Drosophila melanogaster: one gene and its partners. The protein of the gene in region 3 purifies or fractionates together with the protein of the main gene of each other region. This does not show direct contact. Each region holds a gene or a part of one and is shown on either strand. Other genes may lie near its edges.

Region 1 (4,775 bases), on a different chromosome or scaffold from region 3:
AATCTATTGTAATTCACATTTTTCAGACCATTTTCGTGTGCCTTATGGCCATCGCCCTCATTTCTGCCGTGCCCGTGGATGAGTCCCTGATCGGCGATAATATCTACCAGCCTGCCTTCGACGATGTCCAGCGTCCCCAGGATCCGCAGGCCATCTTCAAGCTGAAGAAGCTGCTCAAGTTGAAGAAGCTCCTGGGTTAGGAGAAATTCGCAATAAGCTTCGTTCAGATTCTAGTCCAGCCAATTGGGAACCTTGCCTCCCCCACTACATTCGATTTTCAAACCGTTTTGTTTAGACAATACCCAATAAGCACAAACACACAAACACACACAAAAGCACATACATACGAGTAAAGTATACGTAATCGTAACTAAAATAAATGTTATTTTCATACACGTCGGCTTTTCTTATATCATCGAAGCGTCGGGGATGAGATCTCCATGTGTGTCCAAAAAGGAGCTAATGACTGGCAGCGGGTCGGGTTTTTGTTTGCCTAGATCTGAATAAGAAACCCGTTTCGGATCGTTTCTGGGTAGAGAGTGTGAAAAGCGAACGGAATCTTCCTTACATGCGTATAAATATTGGCCAATCTCAGTCGTAAATGAATCAAGTGGGTTCAATGATGTGCTAATACAAGGAGCCCACTGTGAGATTAATGATCATACCTACTTTCATTAATTGGCATGATTAGTTAACTTGATATGCCAGTAATATTATAGCTTAACTAAATATAATATATTAAATATTTTCAAGTATCAAAATTATGTAAAAAGTAACGATAACTCATCACATATTGACATATTGAGAGCTGGTCACGAAAAATCGGACATGATTGCCATCAAGTTGAAGCACATGGTTCCAGCCTTTCAACTTACCATAAATTTTAACATTCAGGTGTATTAGTAGTATTAGGAATGATTTTAATGTGATCGTAAAAAAAGAAAATTATTTGGAATTGAAGGTTGGACCTCTTCAAACAAAAGACTTAAGAAGCGAACTTGTTTTTTTTTTGGGCACCATTTTGTTTTAACCTTGCAATAAAAAATGAATAAGTAAAGGTTTCGTTACCAAATACTTTCTTTAATTTCACTCTTGTTTTTCTTCTTAAAAACCTAAACACATGTTAAGTTAAACTATAAATCCATAAATGTGAGGGTGTGGTGTCTAGCCCAGGAACAGCAGCTTCTTGAGCAGCTTCAGCTTGAGCAGGAAGGATTGGTCGTCGGATGGGTTGACGGACTCACTGCCAGGACCTTCGAAGCCATCGGGAATGGCCTCCTCGCGAGGAGCAGCACTGGTGGCCATGAAGCACACGGCAAGGCAAAGGAAGACGCTCTGTAAAGGAAGGGTCAGTAAAGTTCCTTGGTATTCCGTGTCGATTTTTAGTGACGCACCAGGAGCAAGAACTTCATGTTGTATGTGGCTAGATGTATGTAGTAATCGATCGATGGATTCGCACTGCGCGTTGACAGACCTGCTTGCACTGATCACCAGACCCCGCCGACCCGTCTATTTATATGCCTGTTCAGTTGAGAGTGAGTTGCTCGGCCGGCAGACCGCTCGTCTTTCATAGAAACTAAAACAACGCGAAGCATCAGCCAAAGATTCAGTGATTCACATGTCGGCGGGCGGGGTGGTATATCAATCTGTTTGGACTATTAAAAGTGATTTTAGTCCAACACGCAATGTGATAACAAAAGCCAGGTTCCCTTTTTCGTAGCCAAGTAGATTACCTTATTGTGGTGCCATTGTTGAACTTGCGACGCCTTATGTTTGGGCAATTTGTTGACTTGCGGTTTCTCCGGCTTCACTTCTTTTTGCTAATCGGTGTTTCCTTGGTTCTGGGTTCTATTTGACTTGGCCATTAGCTGCGAGCGGAATCTCTGCTAAATATTAATTAGCAACTTGACATTGGCCTTAACGTTCAGATCAGCCATTAGCTTTTCGTTCACACCTCCATAATAGGCTAGAGTAGCTGAATTATCCGAATATAGTTATATTTTTAAGTGTGTATGCTGGCAGACGGCGAATAACCCATTGCGCAAAATTGATAAGATTTTGAGATTTAAATTTAAGCAGGCGGTTTGAAAATGCCGACCTGCCAACTTTTCGAAATTAGCTGCATTGAGTAAATTAAAAGTCGAATGTAGAGTTATTTGTAAATTTCTAAATATTTCACATCCAAGCTAAAATCTGTAAAATCGAAGTAATTTTATTCTTATAATTAAATGTGTTTACATTTTAATTAAGATTTGCTTTCCATAATTATCAATCAAGATTTACAAAATGGAGTAGAAAAGAGGAAAATACATAAATCTCCTCTTTGATTTTCCCACTTTTGAAAATTTAAATAAATAGCGCCAATTTTCCAGTGCTGCCACTCTTATCAAAAAGTTTGCAAGAGAACAAAAAATCGATTGGCCTCGCCAACAACATTACTCACTGCACTAATCGATTATAATTATATATTAAAGCACAAAAAATACCAACAGATATCGAAATTCGATAGCATCGATACGCTGTAACAAACAAATAAAAAAAAAGAAACAAATTAGTCAAATTACAAAATTTATCAGTTATCCAATTGCACACAAAAACCAACTCAAAATTAGCCCAATTTCCATCGCAGGCCCACACGAAGAGAACAAACGGATACAATGACGGGTTCGTTCAGTGTGAAGCTCAAGTCCAAAAAAGGTCAATTCATTGTCAACGACCTGAACGAGCATACGACGCTGGGGGAGCTGAAAACGAAAATAGTCCAGGCCACCGACATCGAAGCGACGCAATTGCACGTCCTAGTAGGCTATCCGCCCAAGCCATTGGATCTCTCGCAGCAGCAGGAGCAGCGCGCCCTCAAGGCGGTCGGAATCAACAGCGGAGAGACGCTGATTGTGGAGGAGAAGGCTGCCCCTGCTCCTGCTGCCCCTGTGCCTGGCGGCACCACCGTGGAGGATGACGAGGCGCTGGCGCGTCGTCTGCAGGCCGAGGAGGAGGCACAGCTGCTGCAGGAAACCGCTGGCGGTCCAGTCGCCCAGGCAGCAGACTACCAGCTGCCAGTGGCGCCGACGGAAAGCGGACCGAATGGCGACTTTAATGGCATACTGCTGAAGAAGGTGGTGCCGGCGGACAATTCGTGCCTCTTCACCAGCATACGATTCGTGCTCAACGGGAAGGTGGACAACGAGGGCAGCGAAATGATGCGTCACATCATTGCGCAGGAGGTGGCCGCCGATCCGCAGAGCTACAACGACGCCGTGCTGGGCAAATCGAATGCCGAGTACTGCGCCTGGATACAGAAGGCGGATTCGTGGGGCGGCGCCATCGAAGTGTCCATACTGTCCAACTACTATGGCATTGAGATCGATGTGGTGGACATACAAAACGCCATTATCAATCGCTTTGGCGAGGACAAGAACTTTGGACTGCGTGTCTTCCTGCTCTTCGATGGCATCCACTACGATCCGCTGTACATGGAGACATCGCCGAGTGCTGCGCCGGCCACCATCTTCCCGGTGGAAGAGCTGGGCGTCTATCAGCAGGCCGAGCAGTTGGCCAACGAGGCGCAGTCCTCCCGCCAATACACCAATGTGGATAAATTCACGCTGCGCTGCATGCAGTGCGATGTCAGGCTGGTCGGCCAGGTGCAGGCCCAGGAGCATGCCAAGCAAACCGGACACAAGAACTTTGGAGAGATTTAATACGTCCTGATCTTCGGCACCGTCTACATTGTGGCATTCATGCTGTTCGCCTACTACCTGCTCACCACCTAGCCACAATCGCCGTGCGAGGAGTCATCTCATTAGCAGTACTACCTCCACATCACCGCCTACCTAAGTTATTAATTATTGAATTGAGCCCAGCCGCCTGTATTCATGTTAGTCCCCTTTTAATCCCTTTCGGAATGCAATAAAATATACCTTCATCTACACTAGGCAAGTCTTGGAGTTGGTACCTATATAGCTATAAGGTCAAGTTCCAGAAAGCTGTCCTGAATTCACAAGGCAACCAACTACGTACGTACTTTTTTACTGAGCGTCGAACAAAACCGAGGCTCTCAACTGTTCAATTACATTAAATTTAAAATAGTTATCTTAGGTCCAGTGCTAGGAAGCCCATGGTGGGGTCATGGCAGCGGGATTCTGGAGGTAGGACATCACCACCGCACTGACGCTCAACATAAAGGAGGAGAGCACCTGTTTGGCATCGTCGCTGGCCCGAGAACTGGCGAAACTAATGCAGGAGCAGTACAGCGCAAACCAGGCGCACCACTTGAGCTGTGTAGGTGGGTTACATACTGATAAATGCCAAGTCACTTGGTTGTAATCTTTGGGGTGTTATTACCTTCATCATCAGTCCACACATGGAGAAAATCATGCCCAGAATGTTCATGTAATCCGGCATCATGTCCTCGTTGGCGCCGCCGCTCTGGCCCTGGTTCTTGGGCGCCTTGTAGCGGTTGATCTTCTCCTTGCGGCGCGGATCCACGGTCATGTTCATTTTTAATTTATTTAATTTTCACCAATTTAATCGAAAAACCAGGTCAGATTGCAATGGATGTTTGCGTGGAATGTGAATGCCGTGCAGGTTGCTTACGTTCTTATTTGACTGGCATTTCGGACACAAGGTGGCAACGCCCCTTCATCAGCTGTTTCTTTATTTACACCGCCGCCACACGCACGTTTAAAATAGTTTTTTTTTAATTACATAAAAATCACAGAAAATTGCAACAGATAACATGGCTCTGCGGTTGATTAGCCGTTCAATGAGCTGCC
Region 2 (6,823 bases), on a different chromosome or scaffold from region 3:
CTGATTGGCTGACGGCAATATACACGCAGGATTCGCACAAAACTTGGTGATGGGGGACGTGGGACCACATGTTGCGCTCCTTGCAGGATACTTGGTGGGCGTGCTCAAACATCACTCATACGCCACCGACACCGACCGAAGCACGATGTGTGCACTTGGCAAACGTTGGACGGTAGCAGCGGATGTGGGAATGGAAATGGGAGCCCACCGAGTTTCCCCAATATGTTTATCTATTATATAACTTTATCAGCTCTTAATTATGCTGTAAAAGTTGTCGGCTTTATGATCAGTGGCCGGCAACCATCACCTATTTATGGGTAGTTATAATCATTTATGGCCACCATCGAATATTGTGCTGTCCAACCCACGGGGATCTGCTTTAAGCCGCAACTTTAAAGCCGTTGTCCTGGCCACTGCATTTTGCTCCACGGATGCGTAAGCATAGTAATCTTCGGTTTATGAGACTGGGATTTGCAGGCGAAGCGTTGCAATTAATTTGAATTTGTGCGTGTTTCGCATGCCAAGTTAGTTCCCCGATAAGAATTTCGACTGTGACGTCAGGAGATGAGTATCTTGGAGTGGGATGACCACGATGCACATATAAACTGGGCTTGGACCGGGAAAATTCGAATTAAGCAAGAAGGAAATCTAATTTGCCTTCCTTTTGTTATAGTCAGCGTGACTAATGCAGTGAGAAGATAGAGAATTTACCATAAAAAGCATAGTCATAGTTACGAGTGTCATTTAAAAATTAGAAATTAAAAATATAATAGAGTTTTATTTTTCAACAAAAGAAATGAAATGCATATGTACGCTTTATTAAACTATTTGTATAATTGTGTTTGCCTTATGACTATATGTCATTGTTTGCCTCTAGAAATACCCACACAAAATGGACTTTGCTAATATAATAAGATAGAATTGGATTTGATTACTTATGGATAATGCACTCCACGATGCCCACCAACGTTAAGCCCACTAATTGGGTTATGGTTGGCTGCCTGACATTTGCTGTCCATCTTTGATGTGGACAAATCCTGCCCAAATAATGCAATGCCAGTGCCATATGCGAACTGCGAAATGTGGGGTGTTGGTTATTCGAAAAAAATCCACACTTTGCTGGCCCAACAATGTGTCGCGAAATTTGCACAAAATTTGAATAAACTGATTGGGTGTCAGTTGTACGCGAATAGTGCGTCAGTGCGCCAGGGAGGAATTGGAAAGTGGATAATGGGCGAATGGGCGCGAATGGGTCACCATGTAGGCCATCGATTAACATTTAAATTATTTTCGCCACTTTGCGGCCTACGCAGATAAGCGGAGGAAAACCCCCAGCCAAACTGGCTTACATTTTATTTACTTCTTGGGAATCGTATCGTACAAGCTAAGGTTAAGGTTGAGGGTCCTTGCAACCCATCAGTCGAGTAACTTGGCCACAATCGGATCCGGTGCGGTCATGGCATAGCCCAACTGGTTCAGAGCCCTCCGGATCTCGATGAACACGCTGGCATCATCGATAGTCGCCGGCAGGACAACGCGCTCATTGCGGGCAAAGTCCGCCATCGCCTTGCGCATCGTCTTACCGGATCGAGTGCGTGGCAGGTTGTTGACGGACGTGACCAGCCGGAAGGCGGCTATGGGGCCTACGACGTCGCGGATCAGCTTGATGATCTCCGTCGACAGCTTGGCATCGGTCTTCTTGCAGTTCTCCACCGGAATGTACAGGCACAGTGGTACCTGTCCCTTGGTGGCCTCGGGCACCCCGAAAACGGCCACGTCCACGACGTCCGGATGCCGAAGCACGGCGTCTTCCAGGCTAGAGGTGGACAAGCGATGGCCAGCCACATTGATTACATCATCGTCGCGAGCTGTCACAAAGATATAGCCACGTTCGTCCTTGTAGCCCGCATCCATTGTATCATAGTAACCCTAAGTGTAAGATAAAATAAAGTATCTTTAAGATTTCAGATATAAGCCATACACTATACTATAGTAACTAAATGATATTTAACAAGTTGTGGGAATTGCTTTTGGTGACTTACCGGAAACTTTTGAAAGTAAAGCGTGCGGAAGAGCTCTTCGTTTTTGTAAAGAGTGGCCATGTTTCCGGGTGGCAGTGGTAGCTTAAGAGCAATCCTGCCCAGCTCCGAGGTCTGCGCCTCGCTGCCGTCCGCTTTCAGGATCTTGACTGCAAGAGAGATGTCCCAGGACTTAAATCCTCACTCAGCCAAGCTAACTGGAGCATCACTCACCGTCGTAGCCCATGAGTGGCAAGCCAGTGGAGTAAGTGGGCGGACTGAGGTTCTGCTGGAAGCCCAGGCATGTGGCGGTGACCGCGGAACCAGTCTCCGTCTGCCACCAGTGGTTGAGCACGGGCACCTTGAAGGTCTTCTCGATCCAGGACTTGGTCTCGTAGTCGCAGTGCTCGCCGGCAATGAAGATGGCACGCAGCGACTTCATGGAGTACTGTCGCCCATAGCTGATGTCCGGATCAGCACGACGGATAACACGGAAGGAGGTAGGTACCGAGAAGATCGAGCGCACCTGGTATTGGTCGATGATCCTGAATATAGGTACAATTAATATGTGTAAGAAACAAGGTGGGGCATAACCACTCACCTAAAGTACTGACCCGGGTCAGGAGTACGGTCCGGTTTACCCTCGTACATAACACTGGTGGCTCCGAGGCAGAGTGGACCGTAGCAGATGTACGAGTGACCCACCACCCAGCCCATATCTGAGGCCGCCCACCAGGTGTGGCCAGGATTGATGCCATAGAGAGTTCTCAGCGTGTACACCAGAGCAACCAAGTGACCTCCGATGGTGCGAAGTACTCCCTTGGGCTTATCCGTCGTTCCAGAGGTATAGAGGATATACAAAGGATCGTTGGCCTCGATGGGAACACAGGCTATGGGCCGCTCGCCCTCCGCCATCTTAAGAATATCCGACCAGAGCACATCCGTCAGAGGATCCAGTTTGGTGGTATCTGGCGAAACATTATCACGCCGAAAGATTATGTTACGCTGCGGTGGTCGCCATCGCGACATGCTAATAGCTGAATGAAGGATGTCCAGGTAGGGCACCACTTTGCCCGGCTCCACGCCCACATTGGAGGCGATCACCAGTTTTGGTTCCACATGTTCGATGCGCGAGCAGAGTTCGCGGGCAGCGAAGCCACCGAAGACCACGGAGTGAATCGCACCCAGACGCACAATTGCCAGCATGGCAATGATGGTCTCCGGGATGAGGGGCATGTAGATCACGACGCGATCACCTTTGACCACGCCCAATTTGGCCAGGCCGCCTGCCAGCAGAACGATCTGGTCATACAGCTCCTGATAGGTAACCCGACGCAGTGTGCCAGTCAAGGGGCTGTCATGGATTAGGGCCACATTGGAGCCGCGGCCGGCCAGTATGTGGCGATCAATGGAATTGTAGCAGGCATTCAGGTAGCCACCCACATACCACTTGGTGAATGGCGGATTACTGTTGTCCAGTACCTTCTCCCATGGCCGATCCCAGTCGAGCAGGTTACCCTGCTCCTCCCAAAATGCAGCCGGATTCTGAACACTCTGGCGATAGGCCTTCAAGTAGAGAGGATCGTGAGCCTCCACCGGCATGCCGCATACAGATTCACCTGCGGAAAAGGTATAGCAGCAGGTGACCATTAGATGGGCGGGTTCATTGTTTCCTCTATTGGGTTAATCGCTGCTTTTAATTAGGCTATCAAACTAAATTACAAACCTTCCACTCCATACCACCTTACACACACCAGGCACATTGAATTTTAAATTTTCCAAATGTCGCGGTCACTCAACTGATTTCTATATACCCAACCTGGCACCCATGTACTGCACATATGCGTCGGGTGTGCGGCTCACCCAGACGCCGAGCATAATCCACACGTGATTGGCGATGGATATTGGACCTAAAAGCCTCCTTGTTGAATAAGCTAATCGAATTCATTAATATTTAGTGCCGACAGTTTGGGCGCACAACTAAACACTAATTAATCACTTCAAAGTCGCATCGAAAGTTCATTATTTTAATTGGCGAGCAGTGGTTTAAAACACAATATTTATCACCTTGAACTCTTGTGCATAAATTATCTATCTATCTACATCGCACTGCAAGAATCCAAGAATATTGTAAAAAGTTGGACTCCACTTAGATAGTTTTTGGAAAATTCGAAAATCTATAGAATTCATTTAGATCACAACGAAAGTTGGCATATTAGTTTTCCAAGCACTTTATTTGATGTTCTAAAAGTTGTTTATTTTAACTGATGTTTTCAATATGCGTATTAAAATATGTGTACCGATATAAATATATGTTCCGCAAAAATCACGCGATTACTCATTGATTAAATTTTTTAGCCTTTTCATATGAATTTCGAAACCTTTTTCGACTTACTGCCTTCGTAGTTCACTGCACTAGGACCGGGTTCCATTGTAACTTTGTATAACTTCCGTTCTTGTATATATTCAAGTCAAGTTAATGTATATATGTATTTATTATATATATTCTTTTTGAATTTTTTGGATCAAACGAGCTCAGCACAACCGTCGCACTGTAGTCGAAACTTTGCAATGGGTCTGGAGAATGTAGAACGCAAGTTGGAAACCAAAACCTTAAACAAAACACCCGATCAAAGGTATGCTTTCGAAACTCTCCGAGATCGGCAGAGCCGGAACGGTGGAAAAGGTTTACGAAACGGAGCGGAATTTAAAAACCTTACATTTTATTTATACGAAATGATTGTAGTTACACATCTTCAGCGTAGTCTAGTTCCACATAAGCAAAGATCCAAAGAATTACTTCTTTTTCTTATCCTTCTTTGTCTTTTTCGATGGAGGTGCCGCAGAAACCGCTTGGCTATCAGTTCCTTCGGTGGTCGTTTCCACGCTGAAGCCCTTGATGTACGGCTTGACCAGCCGGAAGATCAGCTTCTCGTGCTGCACATTGCTGGAATCCAGGCTAAGACGAACCGTGACTGGATCAAAGGAGTGGAACACCACGTCACCGCAACGCTGTGTATGATCCTCTTCGTTGAAGGTGAAGACAATCTCGCTCTTGACGCGCTCCACACCGTCCTTGCCATCCTTGTCCGACTTTAGATACAAAGTGCCTTCCAGGCCATACTTGGGGATTAGCACTTGCAGAGCATTCTTGCGCACAAATAGCACATATCTAGGGATGGGTAATAATTGAAAAGAATGTTGCCCACTAGTGGTTTCTTCGACTCACCCTTCCTCATCCTCCTCCTTGCCGCGGAAAAAGAGATGCGTGTTGAGGGCCACTGATGCGCGACCAGCGTACTGAGCCATTTTGTGGCGGTAGTTAAGATTATGACACAGCTCCTCATTTGACTTTCGGTCCAATAGCTGGGCATAGGTGCTATCCGCGCCGATTGAGGCGGCCAGCAGGCGATGTACCATAATGTCGGAGTAACGACGAATGGGCGACGTAAAGTGCGTGTAGATGGGAGCAGCCAGACCGTAGTGGAAGAACTCCTCCTTCTGCAGACTGCCGCTGATGAAGTACACTGCCTGCATCATACAGCGTGTGGTGAGGATGCGGATCATTGTGTTAAAGTACGGATTATCCGCCTTGACACACTTGTCCAGTGAATGCGACAGCTCCAGTCCCGAATTGATGTCCACCTGGAAGCCCTGGTAGCGCGCAGACTTTACCAGCGGATCGAAATTGGTAGGCGGTGGCCGAGGATGGCGACGCAGAACAGCGCACTCGGAGAACTCCGTTGCGATATGCTCGGCCACCGTGATGTTGGCCAGCAACATGAACTCCTCCACCATGGAATTCGTCTCGCGCATCTGCTTCACCTCCACCTCGAGTGGTTCGTGTGTCTCGCTGTCCACCTGGAAGCGGATCTCCGGGGAGGCAAGGACAAGGGCTCTGTAAATTATGGATGCCTTAGTTCACTTGATTACGAGGTGTTAATATAATCTTACCCATTATCCATTCGTCGCTTTTTCAGTATTTTGGCCAACCGATTAAGATTTCTCAGGGACTTGGCTATTTCATTCTGTTGCGTGGCATCGTCGATGATATTCTGCGCTTCCTCGTAGGTCATGGCACGCTTCGATTTGATGACGCTCTTGTGGAAGCGTTTGCTTAACACATTTGCTTCATTGTCCACTTCCCACACGCAGGAGAAGGCGAATCGCTCAACACCGCCAACCAATGAGCAGAGATTTGAGCTGAGTAACTCGGGTACCATGTCGATTCGTTTGCCCACCAAGTACACGGTGGTTCCCCTGGCCGCTGCCTCCATGTCCAGTGCGTTTCCTGGACGAATAAAGTGACTTACGTCGGCTATGTGAACGCCCACTTCCAGATTGCCGTTCGGTAGTTCCTTGCAGTGCAAAGCATCATCGATATCCGTGCAGCCCGGGGGATCCACAGAGCAAATGTACAGATCCCTCAGATCCACACGCTTGGAATAGTCCTCGTCAGTAATTGTCCAGGGCATTTTCGGCAAGAAGCTAAGCACTTCGTCCGAGAACTTGCAGTGCGGGACGTCGTGCTCCAGCAGGATAACCTCGTTCTCGGTGGCCATGTCTCCGAGCGGTCCCAGGGAGCGCACAAAATGTCCATGTGGGTAGCGCGAGTTGCGCGGCCATGTGTCAATCGTTACGATGATGCGCTGGTTCTGCAGCATTGCTGCCTGTCGCGTTTCGATACGGATGCGCGGAATCTTACGGTCGGCGGGCACAAAGATGTGCCGATTTGTATCCTCTATTAAGCTAGGCTGCAGGATGCCGCAATACTGTCGCCATTTCCGTCGCACAATACCGACAAT
Region 3 (3,967 bases):
AGGAGCTGCCAAAGCTGCGGGAGGCTACTCCCCAAAACTGTTTTATGGCAATCATCAGCGAAGCGGCGTGATTGTCAGTCCTGTGTCCCAGAATCTGGGGGTGGCTGCGACAACGGACAATGTGGCGCCCGGATCGGAGGCTCTTGAGGAGCCGGAGGAGGCGAAAAAAGCACGTAGAGTACAAAAGGCCAACAGATATGTAAATACGCCCGGCAAACGCAGTAAATAAGCATTAGGACCTACGCATATACACTTTACATATTTTTTACCACTTATTTACATATAAAGCGTGCATGCCGTCGTTCACCTGACCCCACGGATGTGGATTAGGGAACGAGGCATGCGCCGTAGTGTTAACGGAGGAATCAAATTAATATTATATACACATATATCTATTAATATCAAATGCAATAGGCATTTCGAATATTATTCATTATTATTATTATTATTATCACGTACAACAAGTGTCTGTATGTTCTTCGGTTTTAACGCCCCGCAAAAACAAATTGTAGTTAACCACGAACATCACACGAATCCGGCAGTCATTGGCAGAGCAAAACAGATAATAATAATTAAAAAGCAAATTAATTTTAACTAAGAAATACAAAAAGAAAAACAGCAAAGAAATATTTTAAATAAAACTTTAAAACCATTAAAATCAACTGCTACGAATGTGGTTTTTAGTATACTAATTTTAATTGCGGAACGAGAATTGATGTTCTGTGGACTTTGTCGCGACAGAAACTTCTAGAACAAAATGTGGAAAGTGACACCTAGAGATAAGATAATTTTATTTACAAGATTAAAGATGGAAACAAGTTTACAGCTTTTGTGAGCGCTCCTTGCCAGCCAGTGGCTTATTGCGTTCATCCCAAAGTGTGACCCCATCACATGCACAGATTCTCTTAAAGTTTTCCAAGATGCCCGCCGAACGAGCAATTATACCACACGCAATCCTAGTGGGAAAGGAGTTATACAAATCAATGATCAATCTGAAAGTGGGGCATATTTACATACCTTTCCCCAGAGTTGCCGTCAATCAGGCTCTGATCATTGCCCCCGCGTCCCAGGTCATCGGCATTGGCTGTTAGGACGACAGCCCTTCCGATTATGTCCCAGACCTCTAGCACTGGATCCACAAATCTAAAGGTGGCCCTGCCGTTTTCATCCGCTCGGATGTTGCCAAGATCTCCGGCGTGCCGCTCCTCTGCCCCAGCTGCAGGGCTTCCATGTGGCGACTGGCGGGGATTGTAGTGTTCTCCGACCGACGAGCAACCTGCGGAAGTGTCACCACTCTCGTGAATATGTAATCCGTGCAGTCCAGGCGATAGACCGTCCACAACGCCATCCACAACCACTCCAGGCTTCTTGTCTGCGGTAATGGTGGTAAACCGAACCACTCCCTGGATTGGTGTCTTGTCCACTACACTTCCTGTTGTGTTTATAAGGGCCACCGCCGACTGGCCGCCGAATCCGGAGAGTACGGCCCGGACACCTGTGGCTTCTATCTTGTCCTGAATCTCTGACCAAGGTCGTTGGGTTTGGATTATCACTCGACCTTCCTGGGTGTCAATTTCCACCTGGCCGACCCCATCCAGCGCCGAACGGAGGGCACCGGCATAGGATTCGTCACCTCTTCGCATCTGCACTGCAAATTCGATCTGCACATTAACATGGAAGCAAGTTTCCTGACCCGAATAACATATACTTACCTTAATGGAGCTCATTTTTATGGTCAAAGTGCCGACTAACAATGATAAACAAACTTTGGTATCGATGGCCGTCGATAGGTTCAGACAAATCGCGCCTTCTGTCATCGAAGAACGATAGGTTCACACGGAACGAAAGTTTAAGGCGTTTGTAAACCACTTATCCAATAAATTATAACGTTGAACTGATATTACTAGTTACGTATTAGAACACAGATGTAATATTTTTATCGTAGAACGTTTTACATTTACAAAACCAAAGTTACTAGCTTCGGTTTTGAACTTTTGCATAAATTGCGTGCTTTTTGATGAAGAAAATGAATTCTGGTATTTCTATTTAAGTCACTCCATATTTCCAAAATGACTATATTAATAATATTTGTGATGTTTGAAATTTATATAGATTACAACTATATTTTAAGTGAATAGATTAAAGCTTAATTTAATAGGGCTAAGTACCTTGGATATAATCATTGGTTTTCTGTTTAGTTTGACCAACAATTTTATAATCTTAAGCTGACTTTGTCCAACTCTTCTGGACCGATTCAAAACGCTAACCCCGAACTAGCTTAGATGCTAACTTATTTAATTTCCGTGCTAATTTTCAGACCTGTAGCTCCATTCACTTCATATTACGTTTTATAATTTTGGCTTAACTTTTCTTTATGGCCGCCGACAGTTTTAATCAATGGCCATAAAGAGTATTTTTAAGCCAAATGATGCTAATTTTTTGGAATTGATAGCGCTAATTTTTGTCTACAAAAACCGCAAGCGACAGATGCTGGCTTATTGAGGCCCAAAAAAAAAACGTGCAACCAATATGAATGAAGCTTTTCCATGCGCGCCACTTTATTGCAGCCAATTGCGCCTTGACTTTCATTGTGCAAAATAAATTAATTTCACTTGGACCCCGTTATTGATAGCAATTTAAAAACAATTGAGAAATATTTAATATTGCCTTCAATTGAAGAACTGTAAAAGGAAGCACTACAACAAAGAATTATGATAAAACCGTTCAATTCCCAAAAATTTGGCGAGTCGGCACATGGCTTTGTCAATTAAGGCCTTTCTTAGCACGTCGATCTAGGGATAGAGATGAATGATATCGGTGGATAACAATTAGTCGCTATTAGAGTACCGTTACTAGACCTTAAGTTCAACACTAGGAATGTAAGAAATTTAGTTTCTTTCCCAATGGTTATGTGGCTATTCACATTAGTAATATTATTTAATGTTTGTATTAACTTATATATAAGTTGAGTTAGTTCCGCAGATCCGTAATAATTTTTACAAGTCTGAGATGGTCCACCCTAACGACAGATCGACGCCATACGCCCTGAGCCACTCTGAAGAGAAGAACGCCCACACAAAAAGGCAATGTTCTCTTTGGGGCAGCGACTAATGGCAACAGCTGTTCTTGTTGATAAATAGCATAAAGATTTTTGTCGCCTTGTTTTGTGAGAGAGCAACAAATGCAAGTCAGCCTCTGAAACAATCACCTGGAAGGATACGTGTGTCGGGAATGTAGATAGATAAGTTGGTCTGGATAGTGCGTGCCACGGAAAATTAGCCTTGCCTTTGTTTCACTTGCATTCCACAAAGACGCACGCACACACACACGTGCACAGAATGACCCTTACAGTGGGGCTTTGGTATTGGTATTTGTATTTGCGGGTCGAACGCCACGCTCTTTTGGAGCGAGAGTGAGAGAGCGAAGAGAGAGAGAAACATAACGGGCTAGTGTATTTATTTTAATATTAGCTTTGTGACGTTCGCTCACCAAATCAGTATTTTTCGTACCATCGGCGTTAAAACACATGTTCAGCGATTTAGTGCGGGAGTGTAAACTAATCTGAGTAACAACAACAGCATCGTCGGCAAAGCAACAACAACGGCAGCAGAAAATTTTAACACGTTGACGCTTTTTCTAGTGTTTATAGCGAGCGGAAAAGCTTACTAAGCGCGTAACAAGCGAGACCCCGAAATCTTTTTTCATCTCGGTCTTTTCGCCTTTGCGTCTTTGAGTGTGCGTGCCAAAATTCAAATACGTCATCGACGCGCGCAGCCTTAAATCGAAAAGGAATGAAATAATTGATATACACAAATGCCAGCGAAAGATTGAATTCAATTGCAGGAGCAACAAATAGCCAAACAAATTGAGGAAAACAATTCCTCCAACCGCACAGCGACAACTTCAATTAATTAACTTGTTATTGTGTAGTAGCAGTCCGCTTCTTGCCATTCACCGCGAAACGCAG

Evidence for each region.
Region 1: the proteins of Ccs (region 3) and Yod1 purify together in Drosophila melanogaster (affinity purification with mass spectrometry, with the first as the bait; one large-scale study listed by BioGRID). This does not show direct contact.
Region 2: the proteins of Ccs (region 3) and CG6432 purify together in Drosophila melanogaster (affinity purification with mass spectrometry, with the first as the bait; one large-scale study listed by BioGRID). This does not show direct contact.

The regions. Positions count from the first base shown.
Region 1 is NT_037436.4:5,131,734-5,136,508, forward strand, and holds Yod1 (Yod1 deubiquitinase), read left to right. Parts: upstream 1-2,137; 5' UTR 2,138-2,206; intron 2,207-2,486; exon of another isoform or gene 2,487-2,612; 5' UTR 2,613-2,657; coding exon 2,658-3,701; coding exon of another isoform or gene 3,702-3,773; 3' UTR 3,774-3,937; downstream 3,938-4,775. Other genes in the region: CG15212 (uncharacterized protein), read left to right, coding at 27-200; CG15213 (uncharacterized protein), read right to left, coding at 1,165-1,335, 1,395-1,412; CG10674 (uncharacterized protein), read right to left, coding at 4,107-4,277, 4,345-4,500; CG4611 (uncharacterized protein), read left to right, coding at 4,739-4,775. UniProt on the Drosophila melanogaster protein: Hydrolase that can remove conjugated ubiquitin from proteins and may therefore play an important regulatory role at the level of protein turnover by preventing degradation. Involved in the regulation of DNA damage repair.
Region 2 is NT_033777.3:24,334,661-24,341,483, reverse strand, and holds CG6432 (uncharacterized protein), read right to left. Parts: upstream 4,563-6,823; 5' UTR 4,451-4,562; coding exon 4,414-4,450; exon of another isoform or gene 4,236-4,413; intron 3,638-4,235; coding exon 2,620-3,637; intron 2,564-2,619; coding exon 2,253-2,563; exon of another isoform or gene 2,189-2,252; coding exon 2,043-2,188; intron 1,930-2,042; coding exon 1,417-1,929; 3' UTR 839-1,416; downstream 1-838. Other genes in the region: Dis3, read right to left, coding at 4,815-5,190, 5,248-5,916, 5,973-6,823.
Region 3 is NT_033778.4:10,120,798-10,124,764, forward strand, and holds Ccs (copper chaperone for superoxide dismutase), read right to left. Parts: upstream 1,778-3,967; 5' UTR 1,728-1,777; coding exon 1,713-1,727; intron 1,662-1,712; coding exon 1,018-1,661; intron 957-1,017; coding exon 821-956; 3' UTR 776-820; downstream 1-775. Other genes in the region: dmpd (dampened), read left to right, coding at 1-229.